Linked DNA regions of Schizosaccharomyces pombe. Changing the gene in region 1 together with any one later gene gives a genetic interaction. Each region holds a gene or a part of one and is shown on either strand. Other genes may lie near its edges.

Region 1 (5,987 bases):
CGGCCTCGAACTCTTCTATAATCTTTTAATTTTCTTGGTCTACCTTTTTGTCAAAATTCGAAGTACTGATCGGGAAAGTTGGTAACTCTCTTTTTTTATTTCTACTAAGTCTAAAAATTTAACGAATTTAAATTAAAATCGTATAAAACATGAAGGCAGTGATAGCAGATGGTCAAAACGGCGTAGAGGTTATATCAGATGCCCCTAAACCAACTCCTGAAAAGGGCGAGTTTTTAGGTCGAGTTATTCGTGTCGCGTTCAATCCTATCGATTGGAAAACACTCTACAATGCGTCGATTGAAAAAGGCACCGTTGGCGGAACCGACTTCGTGGCTGTTGTGGAAGATGTTGGAGAAGGCGTCGACAGATCGAAATATATCGGTGCCACTGTTAGTGGGTGGGCTCCTGGTCCTTTAGACGGTTCTAATGCTGCTTGGCGTGAATACATCACTCTTGATGTAAATTTGGTGTACTTTGTTCCCAAGAATATTACACCTTCACAAGCCGCTACGCTTCCTCTAACGTTTACTACTGCTTCGCAAGGACTTAATCAGTACCTTGGTCTTCCCTTGCCTCCCACGGATGGATCCAAGAATTCCGCTCAACAAAAATGGGTTTTAGTATGGAGCGGGTCATCTAGCGTAGGGCAATACGTGGTTCAACTTGCGCATCACGCTGGTTATAAGGTAATTGCTACTTGTTCGCCTCATAACTTTGACTGGATTAAGAAGCTAGGTGCCGATTTCACGGTTGATTACCATGATCCTAACGTGGTGGAGATTATTAAAAAAGCAACTGATGACTCTGTCTTTTATGGATTTGATGCCGCCAGCTTCCCTGAAACTAGTACATTAGCGGTTAAGGCATTTAGCTCAAAGGTAAAAGATGGTAAACTCATCAACATTTTATCTTCACCCCCTTCACCTAGGTCTGAAGTAAAAATCATTGGAATCATTGATTATTCACTTTTCAACCGGGAGTTCAACTTCTTTGGTAACAAGATAGAACCAATTCAAGCTAGCTATGATCATGCTGTTGAAGTATACAAGAAATTGACTGGCTGGCTCCAGGAAGGAGTAATCATCCCTAATCGTGTAAAAGAATTTGATGGTGGATTGCAAGCTATTCCTAAGGCTTTACGTGAGTTTGCCTCAGGGAAGCACAGTGCCGTAAAGTTTGTGGTTCGCATTGACTAAAACGGCACTTTTGTAAATTTTGAAATGACTTATGTTATAACTTGACCTTGGCAAGAGATAGAACAGGCACATACTCTTACATGTTTTATTTGTTGATTGACGTTACTTAAGGAACAAGCTTTTCGTGGTATTATTTTTTTTTATGCAACCTGCCTATACAAATAACACTTCGATAAGCAAAGATGAATTTTTTTTATAATGTTTTACGAATACTAATTGTTTTATCTCTACATCCTTTAGATATAAACAATGATTGTACTATATTCTGAAATGCTACACTGCTCAAATCAATGTATTTTGATAAATTCATCAATTTATACTTTAGACATAAAACTAGCTTGTAAAGCAATCCTGTACATGTTATAACCAACGTAATCTTTATTGTGAAAAATTGAAAATTTCAGCAAGATACTTGTCATAACCAAAAAAAATAAAAAAAAACCAAATTATTAAACAGAAATAATGAAGCTATAAATAAATATGATCAATTATGTATTCTCTTCTAAGTAACCTTATTATTGTTTTCAAAACTCATCCTGCTTTTCCTGTTTTATATTTGAACCCTGAGTTACAGGTTCGTCCATTTCCTGAGCGTATATAATCATAGGTTTTGACTCTAAAGTTTGGCCTGGAAGTTGCTCTTCTAACTCAACAAAATCCATTCCTCGTAACTCTTCTTCAAAAGATGCACGAATATGAAGGCCCGGTACTAGATCTACTAACAGACATATGATAGCTGTTATGACGAAAGACCATGCAGCAACAGAGGTAAAACCTGCAAATTGATAACCCATTTGTTTCCAGTGATGAACGGCCCAGCCCCCGTCTATAACTGTAGCGCCATCTGAGGCAGCGACATCGGGATGCGCTACTACACCGAGCACGATGGAGCCAACAATGCCGCCGATACCGTGTAAGTTAAAGACACGAAGCGTTTCATCAACGCCAATCCATTCATTGAGGTCATGAAGAAAGTTACATACCAATGCCGGTACGATACCCCCAGCAGCGGCTCCCCATGGAAATACAAATCCACAGGCTGGTGTGATACCCACTAACCCTGCAATGGCACCTTCGCAAATACCTATAGTGGAAAACTTTCTATAACGGATGTAATCAATAATCGCCCATGTCAAAGCACCAAATGACGAGGAAATGAGCGTGTTGGTCATGATATAAGCTGTACGAATATTAACAGTCAATAGAGTACCAGAATTGAAGCAGAGCCATGCAAACCAAATCAAAACAACGCCAATGTAAACCATACCAGCATCATGCGGAGGATTATGAGCTATCTTTCCTCTGCCGAAGGAATTCTTCCAGGAAACAGATTTGAACCCAAACCACCGCTTCCAATTAGCTTTGCAGTTGTTTTGGGAAGACGACGGTAAATCTGCATTATCGGTCGACCGAATTGAATCGGGTCTGTCTGGCTCGTCGACAACAATGCGACGACCTAAACATAAGGAATAAGCGAGCGCAGCAAAACCAGATGAAATATGTACGGGACCGCCGCCTGCAAAGTCAAGGGCACCCAATGTGTAGAGCCAGCCATTGGGTGCCCATGTCCAGTATGCCTGTGGACAATAAACCAGCGTAATGTATAAAAAAGATATTACGAGAGAGGGAATTAGCCTACCGCGCTCAGCCATTGCCCCGGCAAACAATTGAGCTGTCGCTACAGCAAAGAGACCACCAAATGGAAAGTAAACAATTGCTGGAATTGTGGACCCTGGTATATATGGTTCTAACCAAAGATGGTTCATCCCTCCTTGCCACAACGTTCCATAAAAAGAGGACCCCGATGAGCAAGCAAGAGAGTATCCAAACAGATACCATTGAATAAACACCACTGCTGTAACCAAAAACGACTGAGTCAATATTGAGAGAGCCGAATTCTTTCTAACCATCCCAGCATAATAAAGAGCTATACCGGGGGTTACGGTAAATACTACCACTGTACTCAAAAGTACGTACGCTATATCAGCATTTGAGTATTCGTTGGGAAACAGTTCTGTTACAGTCGCGATAGTGGAGTTTGCGTCGCGACGTAATAGCGCATTCGGCTCGTTAAGCATCTTTTCGTACACGACAAATAAATCGTAAATCAGTCGTAAATTATACCGTACGTCACAGTATCGTACGTAAACAGAGAGATAAATAGAGGATAAGTAAAGAAAGTCTGTGAATTTCTTAATTGATCTGTAAACTAATATGTAGAGAAGTTCTTATCTCTTTACCAAAAAATCACCTAAAGTTATCAATAGTAAAAGTAATTTTCACTCTTTCTCAATTGAATCCGATTCACAGATTTATTATTTAACGATATAGAACCACTTTCGGTAAACCAACGTTATTTGGCGCCTTAAAACGTCTTATTGTATTCTAAGAATGAGATGCTGTATATTTTAGTGTAGTATGCTATCTTAAAAAACATGTAAGCTACGCAGTTTGGTATCTGATTTAAGGATACGTAGAACTGCGGTGAGTTTTCCTTGTGATCTATTATATTACGATACACAGGTTGTATAAGTAGCAACTGAGTATAGGTATTGTATTAACTGGGTTATAATGTTACCTATCACTAATATAGCTCATAACTGAACTGAGGAACGAGGTTCAGCAGTAGCTCTATTTATAGTATTCAGATAATATTGATCTTAATAGATTATCATTAAGATCAATCTCCATATCGTATCATACATGGTACGATATATAATTAGAACATGTGACATATAGTGATACTCAACGTAGTGTATTATAGCGTAGTGTAGTATTGCTGACATTGCCCTCCCCAAGATTTTCTATGTAAATCTGAGGATAAGTCATATGTTCTCAGATATTTAGATTATTGTTTTTAATATAATCATTGACAATTGCTTTGTCCGCTTGTAGCGCTGTAGCTAATGTAGTCCATCCTGACATAATAGTACTCGGATTTAGATTCGAAATGTACTTGACATTTAAGTAGAGTACTTGTTCTCTGTTTTTATGTTCTAGGATATGAAGAATTGTTCCAATATCAGACTCATCAATGGTAGCGTAATTGAGTTCTGAATTATGTCGATACTTTTCTAGGTGAGAAACATGAAAAGTAGATGAAAACATGTGCTTGATTGAATCTGGAAGATCCAATTCATAGTTGTTTGGACCCGACTTCTGTAACACATAGAACGGTCCTGCAAAACTAGGTGCTAATTTATTGGATTTATGAAGAAAACCTGTTTTCGTTCTTTTGACCATAACTAGGTCTCCAGGTTGAAATTCTTCAATTTCTTGTATTTTCATATCGAAATACTTTTTCATCTTTATGTTGTTTGTATTCAAGTGTTCTTTAACTGTTTGAAATACTTGGATCGTTTCCTGAGAGTTTTCGTCAGTTTTGTCACTAAAGCTAGGTAACTCTAAAGGTGATAAAGCTGGTGAATAGCGATGTACTATCTCAAAAGGTGTCATTTGAGTTGCTGAATGTATCGCATTGTTGTAAGATTGTTGCACTAGGGATATATGATCTACCCATGTATTTGGATGTGTGCTACATACACATCTTAGTAATTTCTCCACAGTTTGGTTTGTACGCTCAGTTTGTCCATCAGTTTGTGGTCTGTATGGTAACGAAAATTTCATAACGAAATTATATTTATGTGCGAAATCTTTCCACGTTTGGGAAGTAAAAATATGATCATTATCTGCAATGATTTCTTTTGGATTGCCGAAATAAGCAATAACTCGTTGATCAAACATTCGAGCTGTTTGCTCTGCTGTAATGGATTTCGTACAAGGTACTAAGATTGCCATTTTTGAAAATCGGTCAACTACCACGAAAAGTGCATTATAACCAGATGATTCTGGTAAAGCTGTAATAAAATCCATTGATAAAGATTCCCAAGGTCTTTCTGATGGGGGAATTGGTTGTAAAGGTCCATAAGGTTTATGATTCCTAGATTTGTTTATTTGACATGTATGGCAGTTCTGTACATATTCTTGTATTTGTTTTCTTATTCCTTTCCACGTAAATCTACGTAATATAATGTTTGTAAGAAGTTCAATGCCTGGATGAATCAATTTACCTTCTTCATGATACTTTTTAATAATTGTCCTAGTCAGCTGAGTATCATTAGGTAATAAGATTTGGTCTTTACTGTTAATTAGTAAGCCATCTTTGAGTTGGATATTCTCTTCCACTCGTTTGTCTTCATTGTTTAGTAAATTCAACAATTTTGTATCATTCGTATATTCTGTAACCACTTGGTTTTTAAAATCATCGGTTATCGAGATTTGATTAACAAAGTTGATACTATTGTCTTCTGAATCTTTTGGAATTGGTTCTGTTTCGTCAACAATTCTGGATAAGGCATCAGCTATGTGATTTGCTGATCCAGGTCTGTAGTTAATTTCAAAGTTGAAGTCTTGTAAAAATAATTGCCAACGAGCTAAACGTTTGTTTTCAGGCTCGGATTCGTTAGTAATGCGACCAATTAAGTTTCGATGGTCTGTTAAAATTTTGAAAGGTTCGATAGTGGATTCTAAATAGTGTCTCCAATGTTTGAGAGACTTAATGATTGCAAGCATTTCTTTGTCCGATACGCTATAATTTAATTGTGCTTTAGACATCTTTGCTGAATAGTATCCAACAGGATAGTATTTATCATCATCATGTTTTTGAGACAATACGGCTCCTACAGCGACATCTGAAGCATCAGTTTCCAGTAGAATCTTTTTACTGAAATCAAAGTGTCGTAGCACCGGAGGAGAAACTAAACATTGTTTAATGTTTTCTATCGCTTGGGT
Region 2 (6,246 bases), on another chromosome or scaffold:
TTGATGCAAATTTAGGAAAAATCTTGGTTTTGGGATGCTTCTACAAATGTGTAGATGCCGCTTCTTCAATAGTAGCCATGTTAACAATCGGTTCACCTTTTAGGAAATCTGTTGACAATGAATTTTCTGCAAACAAAGCCCGATTATCATTCGCTAAGGAGAATACCAGGAGTGATTTAGTTTTGATGTATTATGCTTACTGCGCTTGGCGAGAGATTTGCCTTTCACCTTTAGGCCCTGATGAAGATTCTTTTGCCAAAGAAAAGTACTTAAATTTAGAGGCTTTAAGTATGACAGAATCACTAAAAATCCAACTGCTTTCTGAGTTGAAGGATATGAAACTTTTAGGCGCTTCGGATGTTGATACTTGCAAAAGCCTAAAACGTTCAATATGCCGGCGTTTTGCCGTTATCCCCAAAGAGCATGATATTAACTCAGGAAATGCAGAAATTCTGTGTGGCGTAATTGCTGCATCTCTGTATCCAAACATTTTAAGGTATGATTACGAAAAAAGACAGTGGTCAACCTTGAGTACCAACAAGCGTGTTAGAATTTTAGATGTATCGGTGAATAATAGGTCTGAGTTACCTAACATGCCGTCCAAATTCGTTGCTTACACGAACATGATGTCTTCCACTCGAGCTAGTGAGTATGTTAATGAAACTACTATGGTTACTCTTCGCCAGCTTCTAATGATGTGCGGCCTTAAAGTCGAAAATAGAGTATCAGTTGGACAAGCAAAGCTTGACAACTTTACAGTATATTTTGAAAATGTTTACGTTTCGGCATCTTTAAGTATTTTACGTCGCTTTATTGAAACTTCTCTAAACGAATTTTTTGCTGAACCTGATAAACGCTTATTGAATTCCCATCTTGAGGTTATTGTTAACATAGTTTCACGGTTAAATTACGGAACCAAATTTCAGAAACGTCTCAAAGATTAATGAAAGTATCAAAAATGAAATATCAGAAAGTTGGTTTTCACATATCTGCTTAATGACAGGCAAATTTTCTTTCCATTTGGAAAATGTAAGAATTATGTTGGTTGAGCATAAATGTGTAAAATGGAGTTATCTAAGGCTTCATTGCAGAAACTGATGGCTTTTCTATTTTATGAGACACAATTCAGAGTATTTAATTTTCTCAAATCCAAAAATGTCAATTATTATAACTGTATATCGTTTTCTTAGAATATCAAAATAGGTCTCTAAATGAAAAGAAAAAAATATTTACATATGCAATTTAGCATTAGACCGGCTAATTTGTAAAATACTTAATAGTTTTTTTGTACCTTCATCATAAACTAGCAAGCAACATGTGTATTAAACTTTTTATAGTAAACAATGACATGTATAGTAAGCTTTTATATAGTACTATAGAATTCATACGATAACACAAATAATAGATTAGAACGATGAGAAATAGATAATTAGCCCATTAAAAGATGCAAGAAAATTATGAACTTAAGGAAGCGTAAGTTTTCTTCGTCGTAGGAAGAACTGAACAATAAGTATGAGTATGCGTATGCGTATAAAGACAAGCAAAATATTATAACGTAAATGAATGAGAGTCGAACAAAATATGCTAATATAGATTATAAAAAAAATTATCCTTATGAGTAGAAGTACAGGAATTACTCAACCAATGGAGAAAATTCATAAATATGCAGTTTAAACATTGTCCTCGGAAGCATTTTCCAACATGTTTGTAACTGACTGTTTACATAGGGGACAAAGATCCGAATTTTTTAATAAATAAGGATCAATGCAAGCCGGATGAAAGATGTGATGGCATGGCAGTTCTCGATAAAGAGGACTTTCTTCTGAATACTCACACAAGCAAATAGTACACTCCCTCTGATCGAAATACTTACTCCCTCTTTCGGCTGTAGTAACCACATTTCCCTGTCCATCAAAACTTTCTGATTTGTCTAATTTCCAATCCTTTTCATAAACCAACTCATCATTAGGATTGGCAAGATGAGGCCCCGAAAACATTCTAACGGGCAAAGTATCGAGCATTTCTTTAGTAACACGATTTTCTGGTTTGTTTGGTCCAATATTCACAATTCTTTCTTGAACAGGAATTCCATGACGATTTAAGAGTCTATAAAATCCATTCATTGCACCAGAAAAGTGAAGGCAAATAAAAAGGCCTATGACACCGATTAAACCCAATAACACACCAATGAATATATAGAGGCCAAGTAGCTTTGGTTCCTTGCTGATGATAACGCCCAAACGGGCCGTAGCATCAATGTTTCCAAAATATTCGACTAATGCTCCACCATCCTGCACCGAATTTAAAGAAGAAGCCGAGTATTCGTTGAGAATCTTTTCAAAAGCGATGCCGTTTTCGTAAGATATGAGTGCCATTGGTAATGTTTCAAAGGTAATCATATCTACAGCATCTTCAAAGTGGTCAAAATTGGTTAATGAATTACTAGCAGTGCTTGCATTATAAAATAGTATTGCCTTTGCTCTATCCTGGACAGCCTGCAATACATGCATTGGAGCACAATAGTCAAACGGCGCGAATGCGATTAAGCCAGAACTTCCCATATTAGAAACATCTCTAAACCATACGCTTCCCTTGGTATCAACTTGAAGTGACTCGGTGTCATTGCAGCTACCATAAGGAGTAGTTTTATATATAATTCCACGAAAATTATTCTTCAGTTTAGACAAGCTTTTGTAATACTCATTCAAAAGGACCGTGTTGTCAGAGTGGAAGTAAAATGAGACATTTTTTGGAAGATTTGAAACAACATTCTTGTTGTTTTTAACAATAAGAGTAGTTATGGTTAGCGGAAAGAACTGATTGTATTCGACAGCATTCATAATAATAGATGAATTTCCGTAATATGAAAGACCAGAGCTAACATAATTAGATATTGCAGTATTTGGAGCATTGCTGGAATAAGCAGGGTAATAATCATCATACAAGGAGATTGAACCAGAAGTAGAGGACGACCTTGCAGAACTAGTACTAGAATCTGAATAAGATTTGGGATTTGATTCACTGGAAACAGAATCCGAGTCTGATTCACTAGAACTGGACATAGAATCTGATTCATCATGACTAGATCTTGAAGAAGAAGTGTGTTCACTAGCATGCCCACTAGTATGGCCTCTTCTTAATGATCTAAATGAATAAGAGATTGGAGTTGGCGAGATACTTTCGTCCTTTGGCATTCGATATCGCCTTCTTTCATTCCATAGTTTACGAATTGCATTAAACAGCCGCTTTCTCCTCTTTACCTTATTCTCTTGTGAAACATAGCCTCTGTAAACTGCATTGCAATCCAGATGATCAAGCAACTGGTTATTACACAGATGCATAAGAACCTAAACAAACTTTAAGGCACGAAGAAACACAAAGAACTAGGAAACAGGAGGTTTCAAGATTACCAAAAAACAAACCTGCTTTGATACCAATCTTTCTAAATAATGAATCAAATTTAATGGTAATTGAAAGGTAAGCTTTCAATCAATAAACAGACGTTGAGTGGTGATATCTCTAAAGCAGGAATTGTGGAACACAATTAATGAAATTTTTTAAAGGAAATTTCAAAAAATTAGAAAGTAAAAAGTGTGATTCTTTTAACTTATACTAGCTCAAGCTTGAAAACCACAAATTGGTGGTGGCTAAGTAATGAACATCTTGAGACATATTGCGTACATAGTACACAATACATGTGATATACATGTGGAAAGCAATTGTTATTATATTTTCACTATGAGCAGTATACTTCAGTGAAGAAGTTTTTTAATGAAGGAAAAACTATGAAACAAACAAAGCATAAAGTGCAGGGCGAGAAAAACAATCGTGAAATAAAACAGCTTATTTGTGTTTGGTGATTCGACAAGCGCTTTAAACAGGTGTGAGAAACTAAATAATAATAAATGGTAATTATAAGAAATAAAAAAACGAAGAAGTGATACTTCAAAAAGGTAAGCATAGCTGGAGAATTAATGATCAGAGAGAACTATAATAAATAAATAAAAAAAGGATCGCTTAGCGATCAATTAAACAATAAGATATCCTCCTTAAACATAAGAAGCAATTTACTAGGAATACGTTATAGGATTTAATGTTGTTTGAGTATACTTTGTAAACTAGTATAAGGATATAATTATTGTGATATGCTACCTCGTAATTTAGTATAATTTTATGGAGTTCGTTTAGTACAGCGGTTACATATTTGTTTAAGAAGGCTAAGATATAATATACTATATAATTTTATATTTTACTGTATTAACTTACAACTGAACTAGGAAAGGGTAGTTTGTTCGGTTGAGATATTTCTTCAATAATTGTATTTTCCTAAAGATGTTTTACTCGTCCTGATCATTAAAGATCAGTAGTATGGATCCGACAGTTTTGAAATGAAAATAACAATAATTAGTAGTGATATCTAATGTAGCTTTGATCTGGCTTAGCAATACATTATTGGTAAAGTATGGGGAAATGGATTATGTAGTTTGTTATGAGAAATAAAAAATGTGCACCAAATTAATCTCAAATATCCTTTCTTTGCGTAGTAAATTTTTTTATTTGTTTTAAACACATATTAACTGGAAGTCATGTTTGCGCAAACTTTAAAATGCTCATCTCAGCAAATGAATAACATTGTAGTTTGAGAATAATAATTACTTTTGAATACATATGTTCAAGTCCAAGAAGGCTGCCATTCAACTCTAAACTGAACATTTGCTTATAGAAGCAAAAATTGTAGTAGATACCAACTTCGCTCCGAACTCTATATAATACCGATTTTAAACAACACTTTTTACCAGAAGTTAATTAATCTTATATATTAATTTCTATTATTCAACTAGCATTATTCCAAGAATTGGAATTATTTACTTTTCGATCTTAGCCCTTATATACGTAAATAACAATGCTACTTTACCACGAATACAGAATATAGTCCACCTCCACCATCCCTATTTTAGTTGGCCTAGTGGTTTCTTGAAACACTGGATTAAAGTATTAAAAGTTAAGTCCATAAGCTAGGGAAATAAATTTCCTATTATTTCCAATAAGTCGAACGATAAATCAAGGAACCACGGATTTGAATCAAGTTGCAGAAAGACATTCTTTGCTTTACAACATCGGTCAAATAAAGAAAGAATGAGTGACATTAACAATAATGAGCCAGCTGAAAATATTGAACAGCCCAAGCAAGAACCAGAAGATGGAAATAATTCGATGAGTGTTGATGAACAACCCGAAACGTCTTCCACAAATCTGCCAACTGGTGACAATCTCGCCCCAATGAGTGTAGAATCCCCTGCACATTTAAATAACGAGGATTCTCCCAAAAGCGATGATTCTAGAGAAAGGCATGGCTCGAATTATGTTATAGAACCGCATTTAGAATTGCGAGATATGGCCAAAGACAAAACACTTGAAAATTTCTTGGCCCAAATGGATGATTACTCTCCCTTAATTCCAGATGTGTTATTGGATTATTACCTCAGTTTATCTGGATTTAAATGTGTTGACCCACGCTTAAAAAAGCTTCTTGGTCTTACAGCTCAAAAATTTATTTCTGATGTTGCTCAAGACGCCTATCAATATTCTAAAATCCGAACCGGTAGTAGCAATGCATCTTCAACTACGTTTGGTGCGCAGAATTTTGGAGCCGGAGGCGCTTCCGGGATTGGATCTAGCGGAAGAAGAGGTGACCGTGGAAAAACCGTGCTCACTGTAGATGACTTAAGTGCCGCTCTTAATGAATATGGAATTAATTTGAAAAGGCCCGATTTCTTCCGTTAAAGACTTTTTATCCCACTAAGGCCACTTGTGTGAGACCCTTACTTAATGCATTAGTGGAACTTTGTTTCTGAAATCTCATTTTCCTATAAAATTTTTGTTTACTAATTGTTGTTAATTCTAACCTTTTACACTTTTTTGAAATTATTATGTATTTTGAAGATAGCACATTCGGTTTGGCGTGGCATTGTTGATGATCATAATTTCAAAACATTTTCTCATATCGATCCATTTCAGCAGTAGTTTTCATATGAGGGATTATTTATCTTTATATTTTATAAAATTTATCATATGTATCATAGTTACTATTTTCTCGCTATCACTTGCTGAATTTGTTTTACACTGATACTCTCATTCAACATTGATGTAGTAAATGTTTTCTTCGTTATGCTACTATCTGCATTTTGAAAAGCACTTCTGAAAGTGTCAATTACGCGGTCGACAGCTGCCTCATAGTATGTCAGA

Evidence for each region.
Region 2: mutations in amt3 (region 1) and SPOM_SPBC15C4.06C together harm fitness less than expected from each alone (positive genetic interaction), as found in Schizosaccharomyces pombe (one large-scale study listed by BioGRID).

Annotation. Positions count from the first base shown.
Region 1 is NC_003424.3:2,923,173-2,929,159, forward strand, and holds amt3 (plasma membrane ammonium transmembrane transporter Amt3), read right to left. Parts: upstream 3,275-5,987; coding exon 1,721-3,274; 3' UTR 1,520-1,720; downstream 1-1,519. Other genes in the region: SPOM_SPAC2E1P3.01 (dehydrogenase), read left to right, coding at 150-1,196; Tf2-3 (retrotransposable element/transposon Tf2-type), read right to left, coding at 4,032-5,987. UniProt on the Schizosaccharomyces pombe protein: Transporter for ammonium to use as a nitrogen source.
Region 2 is NC_003423.3:2,250,066-2,256,311, forward strand, and holds SPOM_SPBC15C4.06C (ubiquitin-protein ligase E3), read right to left. Parts: upstream 3,646-6,246; 5' UTR 3,342-3,645; coding exon 1,671-3,341; 3' UTR 1,346-1,670; downstream 1-1,345. Other genes in the region: dhx29 (ATP-dependent RNA/DNA helicase), read left to right, coding at 1-944; SAGA complex/transcription factor TFIID complex subunit Taf10, read left to right, coding at 5,137-5,784.